Xenopus tropicalis: one gene and its partners. The protein of the gene in region 2 purifies or fractionates together with the protein of the main gene of each other region. This does not show direct contact. Links are inferred from orthologs where the notes say so. Each region holds a gene or a part of one and is shown on either strand. Other genes may lie near its edges.

Region 1 (6,524 bases), on a different chromosome or scaffold from region 2:
TCCTCCACAGCTTTGCCTACATGACTAGACACATTATGGTGAGGGAGAGATTTGCTGTAGGGAATGCAGATGCTGTCTTCAGCTCGGTTGTAACGCTGAATCAACTCCTCACAGTGACGCAGTGCTCTGAGTGGTGATCAAAACAATGAATGTAATTTGAGCTTAAGTTTTATAAAGCAATCAGAAATATTGTTTTAAGAAGCAACGTAAAACTAAATTGAAAATAAAGACATTAAAGCACCTATCATTGCAAACTTGTTTTCCCCACCAGAGGTACTAGCTAAAAGAGCCTGCACTACAGCTGGAAAAAAATGCTAATTAATGAGCAATATTCCCAGCTTGTTTATTACACACAAGTGTTTGACAAGATCAGAGGACTCCTCTACTGATTCTAAACATGGGGAAAACAATTTTACTATGATGAAGTTCAGGAATTCACAAGAAGTAAAATGAACTTACTTTGCTGAAGACACAATGAGTTGTGAATCTTTGTAAGCTATTAAATAACTCTGATTCTCTGGGTTATGCACAGTTACCTGGAAAAAAATATAAACAGACCAGATTCTTAGCCATAAGAGTAGGACCTGAATTTAAGTGCTTTACATGGTATTTTGACTAAAACACTTCACAGAGAGAAAGAGTGTGCTCATAATGCCTTCAATTAATTGTGGCATTCCCAGGCATCAGCAAACATTTTTTTGTTTTACTAATTTCAGTTAAAAGTGTTGGTAGATAGTCGAATGAGTTGAAAACTGTGGTCCTTGCTGAACCCATCACAGAGGTGAAAATGCCAAACTGAAATATCCCTAAAAGTTGTTTTTTTGCCAAAGGGGCATGGGCTTGCCTTAGCAGTAACCCGTAGGTAAATGTACCAGATAGCCCTCCTCTGCAGTTTTCTGCATCCATGAAGTCACACTTAGATAAAAATGAGGAAATGTACTGAAAAGTGAGTAGACTAGTCTCGTTGACATCTGAAGCCTTTGTAACAATTCCACTTTCAAAGGTTTTTGGCAGAAATTTTTAGCTACAGAATATGCTAACAAATATGAATATTTATATGGCTTGGGTTTAAACTATATAAATATATAAGGAAGATGACAAAGATAGTACACAAACATGTCCCCCTGCAGGCATTAAAAGAAATATGTAACTAACTGTACTCGGAAGGTACAAATCTCCATGTAACTTTAAGCTGAAAGGATGGCAATGGTTCTACAAACTAGAATCCATTTAAGATAAAATGTAATTTGTTTAATCATGTTATTACAGCTTTATGCTGAAGAAATAAGCAAACTTAGGACACTCACGCTCTCTAAGACCCGTAAACATCGTTCTGCTCCCCACAAAGAAGCAACTAATTTTTCTTCACTTTCATCACGGTCAAGGTGATTAGCACATTCTTTAACTATGAGGGGGGAAAAAATTGTTAAACACAAGGAAAACAAATACGGGACATAAAGGGCACATAATAAAAATATAAAATTGCTTAGAGTCAGAGCATGCTGCAGCAAGCCTTTTTTAATACTTCAGGATTGGGTCTAGTGCTCTCTAGGCTTAATCAAATAAAACTGAACGGGCATATCCTGCAGAGGGAAAATTATATTTTGCTGTTCTGACCAGCTGTTGCCTAGGCTGAACAGTAGAGGTCACTCAGAGTACATTCCATAAACTTAGCACAGTCAGAACTGCTGATATCTTAAAAAAAAAACACCAATATTAAAGTTAAAAATGTTCGTATTATAACACTGAAATTGTACAGTTATAATGTACCCTATACGTTTCTGTTAAAGGGAAACTTCACTGAGACACAACATGCATGCTGTCTGTGAAAACATCAATGTTTTAGTCCCTTCTCCCCTGCCAGGATTTTAAATAATGCAGAAACATATCATATTTATATGCTGAAATCCAGCTGCAAAAAAAAGGTCTTTATTCATACTTTTTGAAGGAACAGATTACAGCGATATGTATATTAGGGTTTTGTGTGGGGCTGTTTAACAAATCTTGATTCGGAAGCCAGAGTTCAACTTTAAAACAACTAAACAATGTTGCATGATAGAACAGTTTTATAACAAGCCCTTGTAATCCCTTACACACCAAAACACACTGTAGTTTATAAAATTTCCAGTCCCCAAATAAATCCCTGTATAATGAGCAACTCCTCAAGTTGCAGCAAGGGAAAAAAAAAACCTGCTCACTTGTACAGAGCTCATTATCTTTAAGTTGCAGCAAGGGGAAGGTAGTATAGGTAAATGCAAAGAAATGAACTGTAGCCGTGATATATTATATATGAAAATTCTTCCGTCAACCCCCCCCCCCCTTAGCTCCATTTGCATATGTCTAAATCTTTTGTGAAGGATTCTGGGTAGGGCTGAATCCCAAAATAGTGGATATGGTGAATTCATAACAAAAATCAAGTAGTAGTGATTAAAACATCCCTTGCAACATAAGCTCTATTACATCAGACCTAAAGGTGGCCATATATGGGCCAAGTTTAGCTGCCAACTGGGCCTCACCAAATAAGCCTGTACACCAGGAAAAGGACTGCTAAACTTTGAGCACCCCTTGCTAAATTTTGTTAATACTGTAAGTGAAAAAGTAGGAAATATCTAATACAGGTATATGTGTGTTTAAAATACAAGACATTTGCAAATGCTATGGCAGTTAAATTTTATTTCACAGACTTTAAAACACAGAAACACAAAAAATAGTAATTGTGGCAATTGCCAATTTTATTATAAAATATTATAAAAAGTTATGTGTACATTTAATTGCTATAATCATAATTATCCTCCTATTATTATTATCAACATTTATTTATAAAGCACCAACATATTCTGCAGCGCTGTAAAATAAGTTAGGATAGTGTAACAGAAGTGCTAAAGGTGTAGGACTGTATGTATAATTAAAGCAACAGAACATACCTTTATCCACAATATGATCAAGACCACCTAGAAGTCTTAACTCCTCTTTAAACCAGTCTCCTGCTCGTTTTGACGTAAGAGATAGTAATGTTTCCATTGCCAAGTGTCCAGTCTGTGTTGAGGACAAAAAGCCAAATGAACAGATAAATAGAAAAACACACCAACCACATGTAGGAATGTTTTCCGGATTAATAACTGCTTGTCTGCAATAGAACAAATTTAAGTGTTTTTAAAGTAATTAAAATATAATGTACTGTTGCCCTGCATTGGTATAACCGGTGTATTTGCTACAGAAACACTACAACAGTTTATATAAATAATGTGCTGTGTAGCTATGGGGCAGCAATTTAAGATGGAAAAATGAGAAAAAAGGCACAGGTAACACAGCAGATATCAGATAATCTCTGTAGAATAACTGGGTTTTAACTGTTATCTGCTCCTTTGAATAGCTACACAGCAGCTTTGGTTGTATAAACTATAGTAGTCTTTCAGTGGCAAAACACACCAGCTGCACCAGTGCAGGGCAACAGTACATTATATCGTAGTTACTTTTATACACTTTCATTTTTTGGTGCTACTGTTCCTTTAACTGCCAATACCATAGCTTTAATGTTTTCCCATTCCAAATTATGCTATAAGGAATGCATTTTGGCTAGCAACAAGCGGGAGACTATTTTGTAACTTGTGTCTTTAGCTTTAACTGAATGTGGCCATACATGTAAGAAAAACGGTCTTTCCTATGGAAAGTTGCGATTTGCTATAAAATAAAAAAAAAAGGAATCATGAAAAATAAAAAATCTAAATGCCACATAAAACCTGTTGAGAAGCCATATAAGTTACTTTAAAATTGTTACAAAGGAATGAACAACCCTGATAGGGACGTACCGTAATGTTTTCCAAATCTAAATGTTTGTTGTGGACAGTTTCACACAGTTTGCGTATCTTCTCTTTGATTTTGTTCATTTCTTTCTCATTCATTTGTCTGGCTGAGGGGTCTTGTTCCATTTCTAAAAGTCGGATCATAAGATCCAAGCTCGCCCTATCTAGGTCCATGTTTAAGCGATCCCTGCTCAGTATATACATCAGTGCAGCAGTGCAAAGTGCTAGATTCTAATAATGAAAAAACAAAACCAGATATAAACAAACAGATAAATGCTCATGAAAACAATGTACCATTACTTATTTTGAACTAATAAGATAATTCAGGAAAAAATATCCTTGTCAAGCTTAGCTGCCAATGAATAACAGACAGATTATGTTCTGCCCTGTTGAACTCTTAGCACCACTCAACTTTAAAAAAATATAGGGTATGGCATACTGTCATGGCAAAACAAGTTTTTTTTTTCAAAATGCATTTAATAGAGCTTCTTGAGCAGAATCCTGCATTGAAATCTGTTTTTCAAAAATCAAAAAATTTCACATGGGGTTAACCATGTTCTTCATTTCCCAGGGTGCCACAGCCATGTGACCTGAGCTCTGATAAACTTCAGTTATAGCCGATCAGCAGAACAATGGGAAGGCAGCAAGATAGCAGCTCCCAGTAGATAGCAGAATAGCACTCAATAGTAAGAAATCCAAGCCCCACTTAAAGGAACAGTAACACCAAAAAATGAAAGTGTATAAAAGTAATTACAATATAATGTACTGTTGCCCTGCACTGGTACAACTGGTGTGTTTGCCTCAGAAAGACTACTATAGTTTATATAAGTAAGCTGCTGTGTAGCCATCGGGGCAGCCATTCAAAGGAGAAAAGGCACAGGTTACATAGCAGATAACAGACAAACCCCCATTATATGGGGCTTATCTACTAGTTTTCTGCTATGTAACCTGTGCCTTTTCTCCTTTTTTCCAGCTTGAATGGCTGCCCCCATGGCTACACAGCAGCTTATTTATATAGTAGCTTTTCTGAAGCAAAAACACCAGTTTTTTTGCAGAGCAATAGCACATTATATTTTAATTACTTTAAAACAATTTAAGTTTTTGATGTTACTGTTTCTTTAAGGGCTCTGGCACATGGGGAGATTAGTCGCCCGTGACAAATCTCCCTGTTAGCGGGCGACTAATCTCCCCGAAATGCCATCCTATCGGCGAAAATGTAAATCGCCGGTGAGATGGCATACGCGGCGGCGCGATTTCAGTGACATCGCGGAAGTTGCCTCGAGAGGAAACTTCTGCGATTTCACTGGAATCGCGCCACCGCGTATGCCATCCCACCGGCGATTTACATTTTCGCTGATGGAATGGCATTTCGGGGAGATTAGTCGCCCGCGAACAGGGAGATTTGTCACAGGCGACTAATCTCCCTGTGTGCCAGAGCCCTAAGACTCCTCCAGTTACATGGAGGCAGGAAAAACAATAGGTTATCTGAAAGCAGTTCTAATGTGTAGTGCTGGCTCTTTTTAAAAGCTCAGGCACAATGCACTGAGATGGCTGTCTACACACCAATATTACAAACTAAAAAAATATATATATATTTGTTGGTTCAAGAATTACCATTTTAAAATGTTAGAGTGAATAATTTACTATGTAAACAGCATAATTTAGAAATAAAAATGACACCATAAAAATCATGACAGAATCCCTGTCCCTAATGATGTGATGATTTAGCAGCAGATGTATCACATCAAAGTGCTACTGACATTCATTACTAATCATGCAGTACAGTACCATTCATGTCTATCAAAAGGAGAACTCAGCAAAGAAAAAGCGGTGGAGCTTCATTTTAGACTAGGAAGTAGCTAAGAAATTAGCTGCTTGTGACACAGAATCGACATGAGGGGCTTTTATGATAAAGGCTTACTTATCCTTAAAAAAAAAAATTATATATATTATACACACACACTTTTTTTTAATTTGTTTCTGCTTTACTGTTACCAGCGACCTAAAAAATTCTGAGGCTATTATTGTTATTTTTTATTATAATGATCTTTATTATAATAGTCCTAATGGTGCAATGAAAGCAAGTCTTGAGTTGACGGTTTGAAAATACCTGGTGTTGCTGACTATCATCCAGTGTTTTGAAGACCATGGCTACCATTCCATGCGCTCTCAGATGCATTCGGAAACTTGGCATGGCACATTTTGTCGCCAGGCTTATTACACTGTAACGAGGAGACGCATATATCAGTTTACAAAATTTACAAATCTTAACAGAGAGAACTATACAAAAAAATATATAATTTCTTAAAAATCAAGATGCAAAATAAAAAAATGTCCTATGACATGATTTCAGGATAAGAAATATAGTTAAATTGTAGTCTTCTTTAAAATAGATTTGTAATAACTTATTAAAAATTCCAGCCGTACAAGCAGTCATCCCAATCCTCCAAAGAAATCAGCTTAAAAAGGCCAGTGGTCAGCATATCACATATGCAACTCCGAATCAGCCACTTGTGATAATTTGCAACATTAATAAGGGGAAGACAGTGACAAGACTAGTTTACTACCTCTGTCACAGTTAGGTCAGTGAATCTGTTTAAGGCATAAAACCAAAAGCATGCATGCAGATATATGCAGAGACTGTTGGCACTGCCTAGGAAGGCATATATCTCTTACCTAAGGCAACGTGTGTTTATGGGCTGACTGCTTTTAAGCCCACTT
Region 2 (6,524 bases):
CATCCTGAAGGAAAAGCAAGACACGCAAGTTTTTTTTTTTGCTACACAACAGCTAGGAATAGAGGAGTCCAAATTACAGAAGTTTCCCTGTAAAGATACGCAGTGGCCAACACAGAATATGGTTCGTTTAAAGCAAAATTAAAGAGACCAAGAGCCCTGGGCCTGACAGAATACACCCCTGAGTACTTTGATAAAATCAGAAATATGGGCCTGGCTAAAACTAAACTGAGTTCTTAGACTCCCTTTCAGCTGGTACCTGTGGTGTGTAATTACTACATTTAAAAAAAGTTCTCATCCTGCCAATGTCCATAAATCTATGGTGGGCAAGTTGTATGAGGGTTTGTTAAGTAAATCTTTTTCTTATTTAAATCTCCAAAATTACACTGTACAGCCCCTAGAATAACATATCTTTCTCCCTGCATGCAGATTTATCTTGTTTTTCTATTACAAGCAGCTGAACTCCATCTCTTTTACTGACTTCCTTGTCTAGCATGAAGCCCCACCCCTTTTGCTTTATGAGCATTTCTTTTGTCTGTGACTATAAAGACCTCAAAGAGGTGCCTACTGCACATGCCTAATTTTAATTAAACCAGACAGAGTGAGTATGCCCAGTAGGCACCTATTTAAGGCCTTCATAATCAGAAAGAGGAGGAGTGGGGTGGAGTGTCACGCTATACAAGGAAGTCGGTAAAAGTGCTGCAGTTGAACTGGCTGTAATAGAGGAAAACAATCTGCATGCAGGGAGAAAGGTAGATTATTCTGGGGGCTGCTTAGAGTAATTTTATAGGATTTTAAAATAAAGGCTTACATATCTTTTAAGGAATCACATTAAAGATTATGTTCTGAAGAGTGGCATTATAAGCAGAATCAGCATGGTTTTATGAGGGACATAGCAAGTGGGACTAGCCAACTGGGAATGGAAATGTTGTAGAAAAAGGAAGGGGGGGGGTCCTCATAACTGTGTATAAATATACAAGAGCACTATAGAATAAACTCTTGGATGCTTTATTTAACAGATCCTTCCAGTGGACGTGTCCATTCTAATTACAAGAGGTTCTGTCTGCTGGTTAAAATGAGAGGTCTAGAATTTCTAGGGAATACTTTGATCACACGTCTTCCACAATAACTGCACCCCTGACAGGCCCTCAGAATGGCCAGGCAGTTATAGCCACAAAAAACAGCTATTCATTAGTATACAATTCTGGGTGTATGTGCAGCTGAGCAAACCTGTTACCCTTTAAACATGTAGAAGATTAGAATGGGGGAACTTACATTGATAACCAACGCACAGAGCTGAAACTGCTCGGGAGTAATAATTTCATGATAGCATGGTTCCTGAGCAAGCTTCATGATAGCACCTCCAGCAGCCAACCTCAAGCGAGACATGTCGGATTTACTGAAACAGTGTAAGATTATGTGAGTCAGTATACAGCAAGGGACTGATAGGAATAGTCTTCTAATAGTCATTTATACAAAATTAAGCAAATGAATCACTGCAGCTAAGCACACCAAATGGGACAGAAATCATAATGGTGGGTAAAGCATGTCAGCAAAATAAGGAAGCGCTTTAACTTCCTTCCTACTTCTACTAAATCCAGCAAAAATCCAGCAAAGGTCTTGCACAATAGTCTTAAAATGTACCTTATTCTCTTCTGTTCCGTCAGATCTCCCTCGCTCACAAGCATAGCCGATAATAACCGTAGCGTGGAGTTTGCTGACTTTGACTGGTTGTTTTTCATGCCCAGCAACCAACGAACTAATAGCTTTATTGCTTGGCCCTGATAAGAGACAGTATTAATCATATAAATAGCTCTTGCATTAAACTTATGAAAACTACTATTTTTTTGGTACCAAGATACAGTGCTACATATATTCAATACACCAGTATTGGCATTCTTCTGCTCTGAATACTGCTAAGTAAAAAGATTAGAGATCATTGGCCTCACTAGCCAAATTTGTGGTATATTACATAATTTCAGAGGATCACCCATTGACAAACGCATCTTTACAAAAGCTATGCTGGCTACTACTCACATTATCTGCACAATTATAATCCCAAGCCAGCCTTGAAACATGTTCTTTAATACATTTGTAACATGTTTAAGTCAGAGCATCCCAGGATGAGAATGCATTTTAGTGCTAGTTTTCCTTTTAAAAAAAAAAAAGATTGGCCAAATCTGAACCAAAGTCTCGAATGATTTGTCTCCTCGTCGTCCTCTTTTGGAAACCTGGAGATGAGGAAATGCTCTGAGCTTAGAAGTACCAAGAGCCCTTGAAGAGGAATTCAACTGAGGGGGAAGCCCCCTTACAGGGCTAAAGGACAACCCCTGGAGTCAGATATCTGTTTAAAACAGAGAATGCCCTAAACATGAGGAAAAAATGCTTAATTTATACGGCAGGGGCACTAGGACACGCAGCCCTTATATAACGGAGGCAGCCAAATTAATGCTGATAAAGCAGGGTCTGTGTGGCTTGGACAGGCACTGGTGGAGGCTATACCATACTGTTCCTGTGCCCCCCAAGTTGATGTTAAAGGAACAGTAACACCAAAAAATGAAAATGTATCAAAGAAATTATAATGTACTGCTGCCCTGCACTGGGTAAAGTTGTGTGTTTGCTTCAGAAAGACTACTATAGTTTATATAAATACCCTGCTGTGTAGCAATGGGGGCAGCCATTCAAAACGTGAAAAGTCACAGGTTGCATAGCAGATGACAGATAAAACACAATCATCTACAGAGTTTATCTGTTATCTGCTGTGCAGCCTGTGCCTTTTCTCCAGCTTGAATGGCTGCCCCCCCCATGGCTACACAGCAGCTAATTTATATAAACTATTGTAATGTTCCAGAAGCAAAAAGGAAACTAAATGGAACCAAATGGAATTCTACGCATAAAAGGACCCAAAGGGATGTTCTGAAAACCAAAAACTTTATTTCTCCATTACAATTATTAAGCTGGATGCGTTTTGTGCGTCATCGCACTTGATCATAGGCATGTGATAATTTGTTCTGGGTTATTATTCCAGAAGAAAACACACAACTTACCAATGCAGGCTAAAAGTACTTAGTTTTTGAATTACTTTAAACACTTATTTTTTGGTGTTACTTTCAATATGGCTTTCTGGTATTTTGGCTGAAATGAGGACAATCTTACTTTAGCAAGAACTTCTGGCGATACTTCCTCATCTGGGCACCACAGTTTGCCATTCTTGTCACCATTGGACTAGAAATTTGAGAAACAAAATAGATTTACATTAACGTTACATCATTATTTCAATTAAGTACCAAGGGATTGGGGGTTTGGGGTGGAAAGGAGACATACCCGGTCGTTCATAAGAAGATCCTTTACAATGAAGTTTGCCACAACAGATTTCATTGGAGAAGCAAATTGGTCAGGAGCCAACATAGAAATGTGACCCAGAGAGACTAGAGGTGTAACTAGCTGTTCTGGTACATCTGCGTTTAAGCTTCTACTGAGGGGCTGGAAGAGAGCAGACAATGAACACACCAATTAAAAGATAAAATATAACCTATTATCTTCTACAACTTTCTAACATGCTGCTAAAAATTCCAAACTGAATCTGAACCTGAATGTGTGTCAGTGAGTTATACTCATCTGAAGGAACGTGTTAAAAAAAATAAAATAAAAAATGATGTGTTTCGGGCTAATTTATTGAGAAATTCCCTCAAAAGATCTATAGGGAGCTCCAATAAAGGGGCCATTTTTAAAGATAATGATCTTTATTAGCCCAGAGTGACAAATTATGAAAAATGAAACTAGGTACAATAGATAGACTGCTTCTTGAAAGCAGGAAGTAGTGTTCTGGCTATTATGTTAGACATCTGCCCAATCCAGCGTTTATATATTACATTTTTGCCAAACAACTCCCCCCATGAAGGTCCAACACCTTTTGTCTGGTCCCTGATTGATTTCAGAATACAGCATTGTCTATCCCTTTAGCAGTTTCCTATTTAAACAAATAATTTCTGATGGACTTGCATTCGCCCTAATAAGCCTGCACCCTGCATTTGATATTAGCTTAGATAGTACTGAAGACAAAAAAAAAAAAATCATTCTGTTTTTGAAAATGCGGTTGTTAAATTACTCAAGAGATAAAGATTGATAAAGGAAGGTTTTTCTGTGCAATACAAGATAAACAGCATTCCAATTTTCTAGTCAATACAATAACCTGTCTAGAATAAAGAAATTGTTACCTCAAATATTTGAGCCAGCTGCACTTCCTTGTTGGAAAATATAGAATGGATGCAGTGCACAGCTTGCTTTGCTTGGTGCGGGGTTCCTCTTTTGGCTTTTTGGTGCAATATTGGGATAAGTGCGCTAATAACAGAGAAAAAACCAACTTTGATTATTGATTATTCATAGAAACTGCAGTTTACCAAAATCAGAATTTGGTGCAACTGGCCAGTGGCAGGTAGAACAATTTGAAAGTCTTGCCAAATGCCAAAATGATCAAAATAGCCCTTGTCTTTTGTGAATGGACTGCAAGTGAATTACAAAACCATTTTCTAGTAATTCATATACATGAAAAAATTGCCCATGTTTAAAGGCCCAAAATCTACAATATGAATATCAAATGTGGGCTGCTGTTGCCTTTTTGTCTTTCTACTATGCGATCTGCTACCTGAGCTCAATAAAGTAATGGTAAGGTAAATTTCCTAACAAAAGTATTTAGAAAAGATACTTCAAATGTTAAAAAGTGATGTTACAGTTCCTTTGAACTCATACTAATACTTAAAGGGGAACTCAGGCTTCAAAAACAAAATTTGTTAAAGAGCCTGTCTTCACCCTAAGGCAGGCTGAGGACAGTTGACTGTGGTTACATTTTTTTGAGTCTCAAAGTAGTCAGCCAGATCAGCAGGAGATCAGGGGAGCAGGCTTAGGTAACCGTTTCAAAACCATATTACATTAAAAACAATCAATTGATGTATATTGCAAATTTAATTGAAATTATGTTTACTTTTCAAAAAGCTGTATTTGGGTGGAGATATGCAGCTATCAAAGTAAAGCTGGAAAGGAAAGTTTGATGGGCAGTCCCAGAGTGGCTATAAAGTGGGTTGCTCCAAATGGACTCAAAACAAGCTCATGGAGATTCAAGCTTGTTTAACCTAACAATATGAGCACCCCTAAAATGGTGCAGCACTCTGGGAACCTGTCTGCACCCTCTCTTATGCTGGGGTCTCACTGGGATAAGAATTGAGGGACATAACTGAAGCTGTACAGTAGTACTCAGTGCTACAAACACCTAAACAACTAAATGACTTGAGTGATTATCATGGGCTTTGTTTCTCGTGGCAGCAAAAGGAAACTTACGATCTAATCTGTGGCAGGTCAGTCTCAATTTTGTGCCCTGTGTTTCTAAAGATCTGGATAGCTGCTTCAGCTACTTTATCATCTTCCATACGGAGGCACTGAAGGAAGGATTCATATGTTTCAGCAGAATGAAATGAGGTAGGGTGGGTGAAGGAAAGTACCTGAAAAAAAAAAAATATATATATGCCATGGAAGGTTAAGAGATAATATGTACTATGTGCGCCATTCATGTTATCAAATGAGACTTTCTATAAATAAACATTAACAGTCTACAACAAGAGAACGAACGGCAAGCAAAACCCTGAACAATGTTTCAAGAGCAGCAGTTTCCTGTTATAGTAGACGGCTGCTATGGTTTACCTTTACTTCAAAATATGTCTAATGGAAAAGCTGAGGATTAAATGTATTTTTTGCATTGTGTAACTTGATAGAATGGAATTCACACTTTTTATACAAGAAAAGGGAGTGCTGGTACAATTACTATTTACAGTATATTAATATTTTGACCTGTGCATCCAGCTTTTTCATAATTGTCAGGGGTTTAAATCCAGTGGAGACAAACACACACAAATATATGGGAACATATACAACACTAGTCTGCACATCTGGATATAGTAAAGCACAGTATTTTCAATTTTCTGACATGACTGGTGTTTTGAGCAAGGAAATTACTTAACAACGTACCTTTAGCAGTTCCAAACCTGCCCTTATGGCAGAATCAGGGCTCACACCCTCCTCTTCATCATCAGCTGTACCTTCTATTGACTTATTCATTAGCTTCACTAGAGCACTGGAAAGAAACATATCAAGCAAATACCAACATGAATAATAGGTGGTTATTATCACAAGTTTATGGCTCTCTCTCTTTCATGTTCAGGTTCCAACTCTCTCTCACCTCTCCCACTGCCTAAGTTCAGGGCTAGGTCTCTATTCCCAAGTCTGTGTGACAGCTATACTTCCTCACTATTGTGTGTGCCAGGTCCCCCCTCCTCTTTTCCATTCCATCCCCAACCTTCCAGTACAGCTTCTGGTGAATTATAATTTAAAATGGAAGCATAATGTGCCAGCCCCCAGCAACAGGAGGAGGTATCAGTATCCCTGTGGAAAGCCACACCTACAGGATAACCAAAGGATGGGCCAGTCTAGGCCTCACCAGCTCACATTTACAGTATATGCACATAGATAAATTGTAG
Region 3 (6,450 bases), on a different chromosome or scaffold from region 2:
TAACCTAAATTCCAAATCCACAAAAAATGAAGGCCATTTGGAAATCATCTGATAATATACTGTCTACACCATACTGAAAGTAAATTAAAGGTGAATGACCCCTTTTAAGTTATTTTAAATTTTGTATTTTTCAGATCCCAGATCCTATCATGAAACGTTCAATTACGGTCAAGAAAATAATGCCCAGAAAAACACTGGTAAATATACTGTCGTGTTATGAAAAAAGAAAGCTTTACCCTTCTTCTGATATAATAATATTGGGGACTAATGCATATATAAAAGGAAGTAGCTAGTTCCGCTCACATTAGTGCTGAGTGAAGCAGGGGGAATAATATAGCTACTTTGTGACTCACTACAACACCAGGTGGGGAAATATAGGCACCTAGGCTTCATTTAATGGTAATTTTTTCCTGGTGCCAATATAATTATTTCTCTGGGAAGAGCATTACCTTTTTTGTAAATCCTTACATTCCCTGCTGCAATAGTGTCATTCTCCCATTGTTCAGCACTGTAAATCTTTGTTGTCTTCAGTTCATAGTGTAAAAATTCTTTGTATGTTTTTATCAGTAAGATGCTACAATTTTTCCAAATTGTTGTGCATTTTTCTAGAATTATCAGAATTCTTGATTATTAATTATATAGGAACAGAAGTAAGATAAGATTTAACTTGTGCCAATCTATAATATATGATTATGTATTGCATGTTTAGTGTATGATTAGGCAATGCTGATTTACATTGGTGTATTTCCAAATTGCTCACTGATGTATTTTTGTCCTCTGTTTCCAAAACATAGCTACCAGCTCAGATTCCAGCATATGTTTTTTAAAACTTGCTCTCACACTACTTTTATTTAATTTGTACTTACCTGAACTGAATCAGAAGCATTTTTTCTAACATTTCAGACTCAATGTTGCTACTATAACTGGTTTCAGCACCCAAGGCCTGAACCTGACATTAGCAGAGTACAGACAGACTGCTGTATTTAATCCTCACATTCACATGGCAGAATCTTAGCCTTTGTAAGCATTATTTGGGTTGTACCAATTTCTAATCAACAGCAAAACTGAATTTCATCAAAGAAAACTGGTGCATTCCAGAATTTTTTTCTTATTTTCTGTATCATTCCTATTTGTCTTTTTAGGCAGCTATTGCCAATACAGGATCTCAGTCCACACCTAAGGTAGGTCTTGACAATTTAAGTAACAAAAATCTCATGATTTCCAGCATTTAAGTGATGCTAAAAAATAACTAGTGTAAATGCCTCTGCTATTTGACTTAAGGTGGCCATACACAGGCTGATTCTAGCTGCCGATATTAGTCCTTTAGACCGATGCAGCAGCTTATCGGCCCATCTATGGGCACTAACGACAGGCCTGCCCGACCGACATTTGGCCTGAAATCATTCAGATCTCGATCGGGCAGGTTTGTCTTTTTGTCAGATCGGACAGCACCTATACCCGCCGTTCTAATTCAATCTGTATAAGCCTGATGTTGCCCGCCCGTAGGTGGGGATATCAGGAGAAGATACGCTCGCTTGGCGACCTCGCCAAGTGAACAGATCTTGCCGTGTATGGCCACCTTTAGCCTAAGCTGACTCCAATTGATGGGAAGTGACCTGTACTGAGAAGTGAACCGTTCCCCCAAGCATAAGATTGCTTTATGAATCCTGTACCATATCTGACTGATACAGTACAATTTCTACAAGTAGTTTATGTATGATGTAGGCATTAAAATGTACAACATACATTTCATCTTGTTGGATCTATGATAAAGTATGTGGAAAATGCCCTGCCAGTGTGAAGCAGTAAGATAGTTGATATTTGTATAGGAAGATAAATGCCTTACTATCTTGTTAATCTCTTCCCTGTTGTGGCTTTTTGGTGCATCCCACTTGTTTACAAGCAAAACATGATATGGTTGTCACTCTGGGCTGAGGATGTATTTACCTAGATTGCAGTCCTTTTACAGGTTTGGCCTGTCAGTAATGCTGGGCTGGGTGGTTGGTTAAGGGGTATTTAAAAAAGAAAAAAAAATAGGTTTGTGGGAGTGATACCGATCCCTATTGTGGATAGAAACGTGTTATTAATTTAAATGATTATATAGTTTTAGCTCTTTTCAATGTATATTAAATGGGTTTTGGCGGTCAGACTGCAGTATAGTGAGTTGCTTCCATAGCCGTAGTGTTTTGTTCATTGACTGTTTCCTGATTTTCTTTATTCTTTAAACAGGTTTTGAATGTCACAGCAGCTCCAAGGAGAAGTTCACGGGTAAGTTATTTTCAACATCTGATGCAAACCTTTTTTTTTTTTTTCATCTGCCTCACTGTTGGCATGAAACGTGCATTAGTTTTCTCTCTGTTGCCTTGGGCTGGTAAAGAACCTATTTTTATCCTGTCTTTTTTTTTTTTTTTTTTTTTGCAGATTTCACCAAAGATCCAAAAAGAAAATGCAATTTCTGAAAAATCACAGATGGTCCCCAAAGAGGCAACCAGCAAGCCTTCTGCTCCAGAAATTGATGTTCTATCTCCAATTCCTGTCAATATCCAAATGTCTTCTAACCAGGATAACAGAGACATTGTTATGTCCCAGAAAGTCCGGCGTTCCTACAGTCGTTTGGAAATGTCCCTCAATAGCAGCTCATTTTTATACAGCCCCACAAGGAAAACTGACTCATCTGATACATCCACTCCAAACGCAGTCCCAAAATCAGGCCGGAGATCTCTGTTTGGTTTTGATAAACTGCTGAACTCTGAAATGCCAGAGGGGGAGTTGAGAAAAAGTGGTAGTGGGACTAGGGAGAAGACTGCTAATGAGAAAACCTTGGGTACAATATTACCTGAAGAGCCAGACCACAATATTCCTGGAGTTGTGCTGGCAAAGCAGAAGAGGAGAAAGCGAAAAGTCCCCGTTATAGAGGTGAGGTGGTGGTTACACTTTCCCGTAGGGGAGGGAGTTGGTTATGAGTGGATCAGTAGGCATAATAAAGGTGGCAATGCTGAGTCAAACTCTATGGTAGTCAAGGCAATCAACCCTCTGGCTGATCAAGTGGATACCAATATTGAGGGGCCATACACATTTGGGAACTTATTGTATTCTTTAAATTCGGGTTAACTACTAAATCATCGTAATAGCAGAAATAAACAGGAGCAGTGACTCCTTTTCACTTCCTTTTGGCTGACATTTTCTATTTGGAGCAATAATCCTCAATCCACCGGGGTTGCAGGAGTATATGTCTGAATGGCCCTATAGTGTTCAGGTATGCACAGATGATCTGGCAGTATGATCGAAATCTGCCAAACAGCTGGGCATGTACGGCCAGCTTTATTGTCTCAGGTTATCACACATGAGAAAGATATGCATCCTCCTTCACCTTCCAGTCCAATTCCTTGTGCTTCAGCCATTATGATTTCCCCTGGCTCTGATTGCCCTGAATTCAGTCTCCCCTATTTAATCCTGTTCAATAACACACTATTCTATTTCTTTAATTCATTACTTATCCTTTTTTTCTCTTAGTCTATCTCACAGCTCTTGTTCGTCTTCATTTATGTCTGTACTTTTCTTTCCCCATTCTTATATTTCCATGTCATAGTTCTGCTCTTAAAATAAGAAACTTGAATGTGTTTTTTTTTGAGTTTTACATTATCAAGTCTAGTAAATTTGCAAGTCAACTTTGTATTTAATGCTACAATATTTGTACCTCTCTTTTCTAGAAGTCTGATATGGATGAATGGGCGGCCGTTATGAATGCAGAATTTGAGGAAGCTGAAAAGTTTGATCTTACTGTTGAGTGATGAGAACTTGAATCCTCGTGTCCATCTTTTTATCACCATTTGTTTACTATACAGACTATTCATTCCTTCGGATTTTGTGTAGATCTTCTGTCTTTCTAAATATATATGTTTAGGAGGGTGCAGGTATAGGTGATCATCAGATTGAACTTCAGTGCTGCATGGTTCTATAGCCATAGATTCATGTAGAAAACTATGAAAGTCAAGTCTTCTACATTGGTATAACTGACTGCAATGTAGAATGGCCAGTATTTCCTTTATTAGTTTGTTACCTACATGAAGAAGCCATAATTAACATCAGATGAACCATGAATATTAAGTTACATGCATTATATATTGGTACCTTCAGAAATCTTCTGTCTTTTTATTTTGTACGCCATTGAGCTGAATAATGTGTGTGGACCGTAATGGGAAGTAATAAGGCAGCTCTTCATAGTGAGTTTATTGCCTGCTGTTTGGGAGGAAGAGGTTATTTTTGTTTTAATATTCTATTAATGATTTATTTTGTCAATATTAAACAGGCAGTGCAAAATGTAAGTCTGTAGACATCTGGAAACTTGGGCATAGATTCATTCTGAGCGAGACTTTTATGCCTGAGAAAGAAATGTAAGCACTGCACAAAATGCTTTTCTGTTTGTGCCTAGTGGTTTGCTAAGAGTCTCTGTGCTTTTTGCTGACAGCAGGCCAAGCTTAATTGTAGCAGCAAAAGGGTATTATTGTGCCCTCAGTGTGGTTGTAATAGGCACATATAGACTGAAGCACTGAAAGGTCTTTAATACCTAACCATAGTCTGCTTCCTGCCATTAGCATCATATTCAAAGTTTATAGAAACCTGTTGACATGCAATGAAGCTGGCACTGTTGTATGGTATGTCCTTTACATACAGTCACATATCTCCTGGTAAAAATGAATAGGGGTGCATACAGATCCAAAAGAACAAAGAAGCTTTGCTCCACCTGTAAAAAAGAAAACAAAAAAGTACATTGCAAAAGTGTAACACAAGGCAGATTATAATTCCTTCCTGTCAAGTATCTGACTTTAATCAGTTGTTAATCATCATGTTTTTGAACAATGGCCTGTATTTGTTTATAAAGAACACCCCCTCCCCCCTCGACTGGTATTATAGGATCTGTATTGGCTTATACTAATGTATAACTGCTCCACTGCAATCGATTGCTAGAGGTAATGATTGGTGCTCAACCAAGACCTTTGGGAGACATTTCCTACAAACTATCCTGCAGCAGACTGAGAAATTAGAGCTGATTATCTATATATGGGCAGACCTTTTGTCTGTGGCCAGGGAAGGAGGGTGACATTTTTATTTGAGCAGGCTACCAATAGATGGGTGGGTGGGGTAAAGTTCAAAATATGAATTATTCCCTAAATGTGGCTGTGGGCCAGTCAGATAAAGTGACCATTATGTATGAGACATTTTATTTTAGGGGGAAAAAAACTGTTTTAAAGGACACTTTATTACAACTTTTTGGAGTACGTTGGGGGTAAATATGTTCCAGTGTGTAACAGTTCGAGTTCAAAATAATGCAAATGGTTAACATGAGAGCCTTTACTGAGACATTATAGGAAATTCACCTTTTTTCTTAATCCACTGAGTTTTATATCAGTCTCCTGCTGAATACTTTTCACCCAAACTTTTGTGTTTATGCAGACTCAGACAGGGTCTCTTGTAGTCTTTATCTGTATTTTATCACATCTATTCTTCCTTCTGCCTTAAGGGCTCTGGCACACGGGGAGATTAGTCGCCCGCGTCAAAACTCCCTGTTCGCGGGCGACTAATCTCCCCGAGTTGCCTTCCCCTGCCATCCCACCGGCGACTTACATGTTCGCCGGTGGGATGGCAGGGGGAAGGCAACTCGGGGAGATTAGTCGCCCGCGAACAGGGAGTTTTGCCGCGGGCGACTAATCTCCCCGTGTGCCAGAGCCCTAACAAGCCCCAGCGCCATGATGTTATCCCCATAATAGTTCCCTGTAGGTATAGCAGTTTATAGATGGGTGGGCTGCTGTTGGGAGGTCAAGCCTCTGAGGGTTCTTAGAAACCATCCAAATATCAGTATAAAGGAAGGTTGCATGTGCAGTGAATGAGCAGAAAAGAAGGTGGGGAATTTTTGGATGCACAGGCCTCTGGCTGGTACAGAAACTAAACAAGTTGAGGCAGTTCTACTCCAACTCTTTCTTCAGCTTTAGGACCGAAGCTTCGGGTCTCTCCACAAATACAAACCCTGCTTGAGCATGTGCAGTTGGGGCTAGCTGGAAATCAGCTGAGAGACCCTAAGCTTCTACGATTGAATGGAAGATGGAGCCCAGGTTAGCTGCTGTGCTGCTCTGCTCTTTAAGGTTGGGGTTTGGGATAGGGGCAGTTTTTCAAGTTAGAGACTAGGTGATAGGGGAGAGGGAAGGGGGGTTGAGGCAGGCCAGTTAAGGGGGCTTTTATAGCGGGGGTGTAGTTCTCCTTTAAAAATCTTTTTTCTTAATTGACGTTAGGTATATATGTACCAGGCCATTACTGACAAAGTAGAAGCATGCCAGCACATTTCCTGGTTTCTCTTTGAATTTATGCACCATAGATCAAACGCCTGACAAACAAGGATCTCATCATGTAATCTGCTCACCTCGTTAATATGTCATTTCCACTGAGGTCTGTAGA

Evidence for each region.
Region 1: the proteins of pds5a (region 2) and wapl purify together in Homo sapiens (affinity purification with mass spectrometry; 6 studies listed by BioGRID and IntAct, with this or other methods). This does not show direct contact. The link is inferred for Xenopus tropicalis from reciprocal best matches to the Homo sapiens genes PDS5A and WAPL.
Region 3: the proteins of pds5a (region 2) and cdca5 purify together in Homo sapiens (affinity purification with mass spectrometry; 4 studies listed by BioGRID and IntAct, with this or other methods). This does not show direct contact. The link is inferred for Xenopus tropicalis from reciprocal best matches to the Homo sapiens genes PDS5A and CDCA5.

What each region holds. Positions count from the first base shown.
Region 1 is NC_030683.2:49,053,664-49,060,187, forward strand, and holds part of wapl (wings apart-like protein homolog), read right to left. Parts: coding exon 6,480-6,524; intron 6,026-6,479; coding exon 5,914-6,025; intron 4,035-5,913; coding exon 3,810-4,034; intron 3,037-3,809; coding exon 2,925-3,036; intron 1,406-2,924; coding exon 1,308-1,405; intron 537-1,307; coding exon 460-536; intron 127-459; coding exon 1-126. UniProt on the Homo sapiens protein: Regulator of sister chromatid cohesion in mitosis which negatively regulates cohesin association with chromatin. Involved in both sister chromatid cohesion during interphase and sister-chromatid resolution during early stages of mitosis.
Region 2 is NC_030677.2:36,255,450-36,261,973, forward strand, and holds part of pds5a (sister chromatid cohesion protein PDS5 homolog A), read right to left. Parts: intron 6,122-6,524; coding exon 6,016-6,121; intron 5,493-6,015; coding exon 5,332-5,492; intron 4,339-5,331; coding exon 4,215-4,338; intron 3,481-4,214; coding exon 3,322-3,480; intron 3,223-3,321; coding exon 3,154-3,222; intron 1,779-3,153; coding exon 1,642-1,778; intron 1,397-1,641; coding exon 1,273-1,396; intron 5-1,272; coding exon 1-4. UniProt on the Homo sapiens protein: Probable regulator of sister chromatid cohesion in mitosis which may stabilize cohesin complex association with chromatin. May couple sister chromatid cohesion during mitosis to DNA replication.
Region 3 is NC_030680.2:33,584,036-33,590,485, reverse strand, and holds the end of cdca5 (sororin), read left to right. Parts: intron 1-134; coding exon 135-197; intron 198-1,142; coding exon 1,143-1,181; intron 1,182-2,229; coding exon 2,230-2,268; intron 2,269-2,421; coding exon 2,422-2,916; intron 2,917-3,710; coding exon 3,711-3,791; 3' UTR 3,792-3,863; downstream 3,864-6,450. UniProt on the Homo sapiens protein: Regulator of sister chromatid cohesion in mitosis stabilizing cohesin complex association with chromatin. May antagonize the action of WAPL which stimulates cohesin dissociation from chromatin.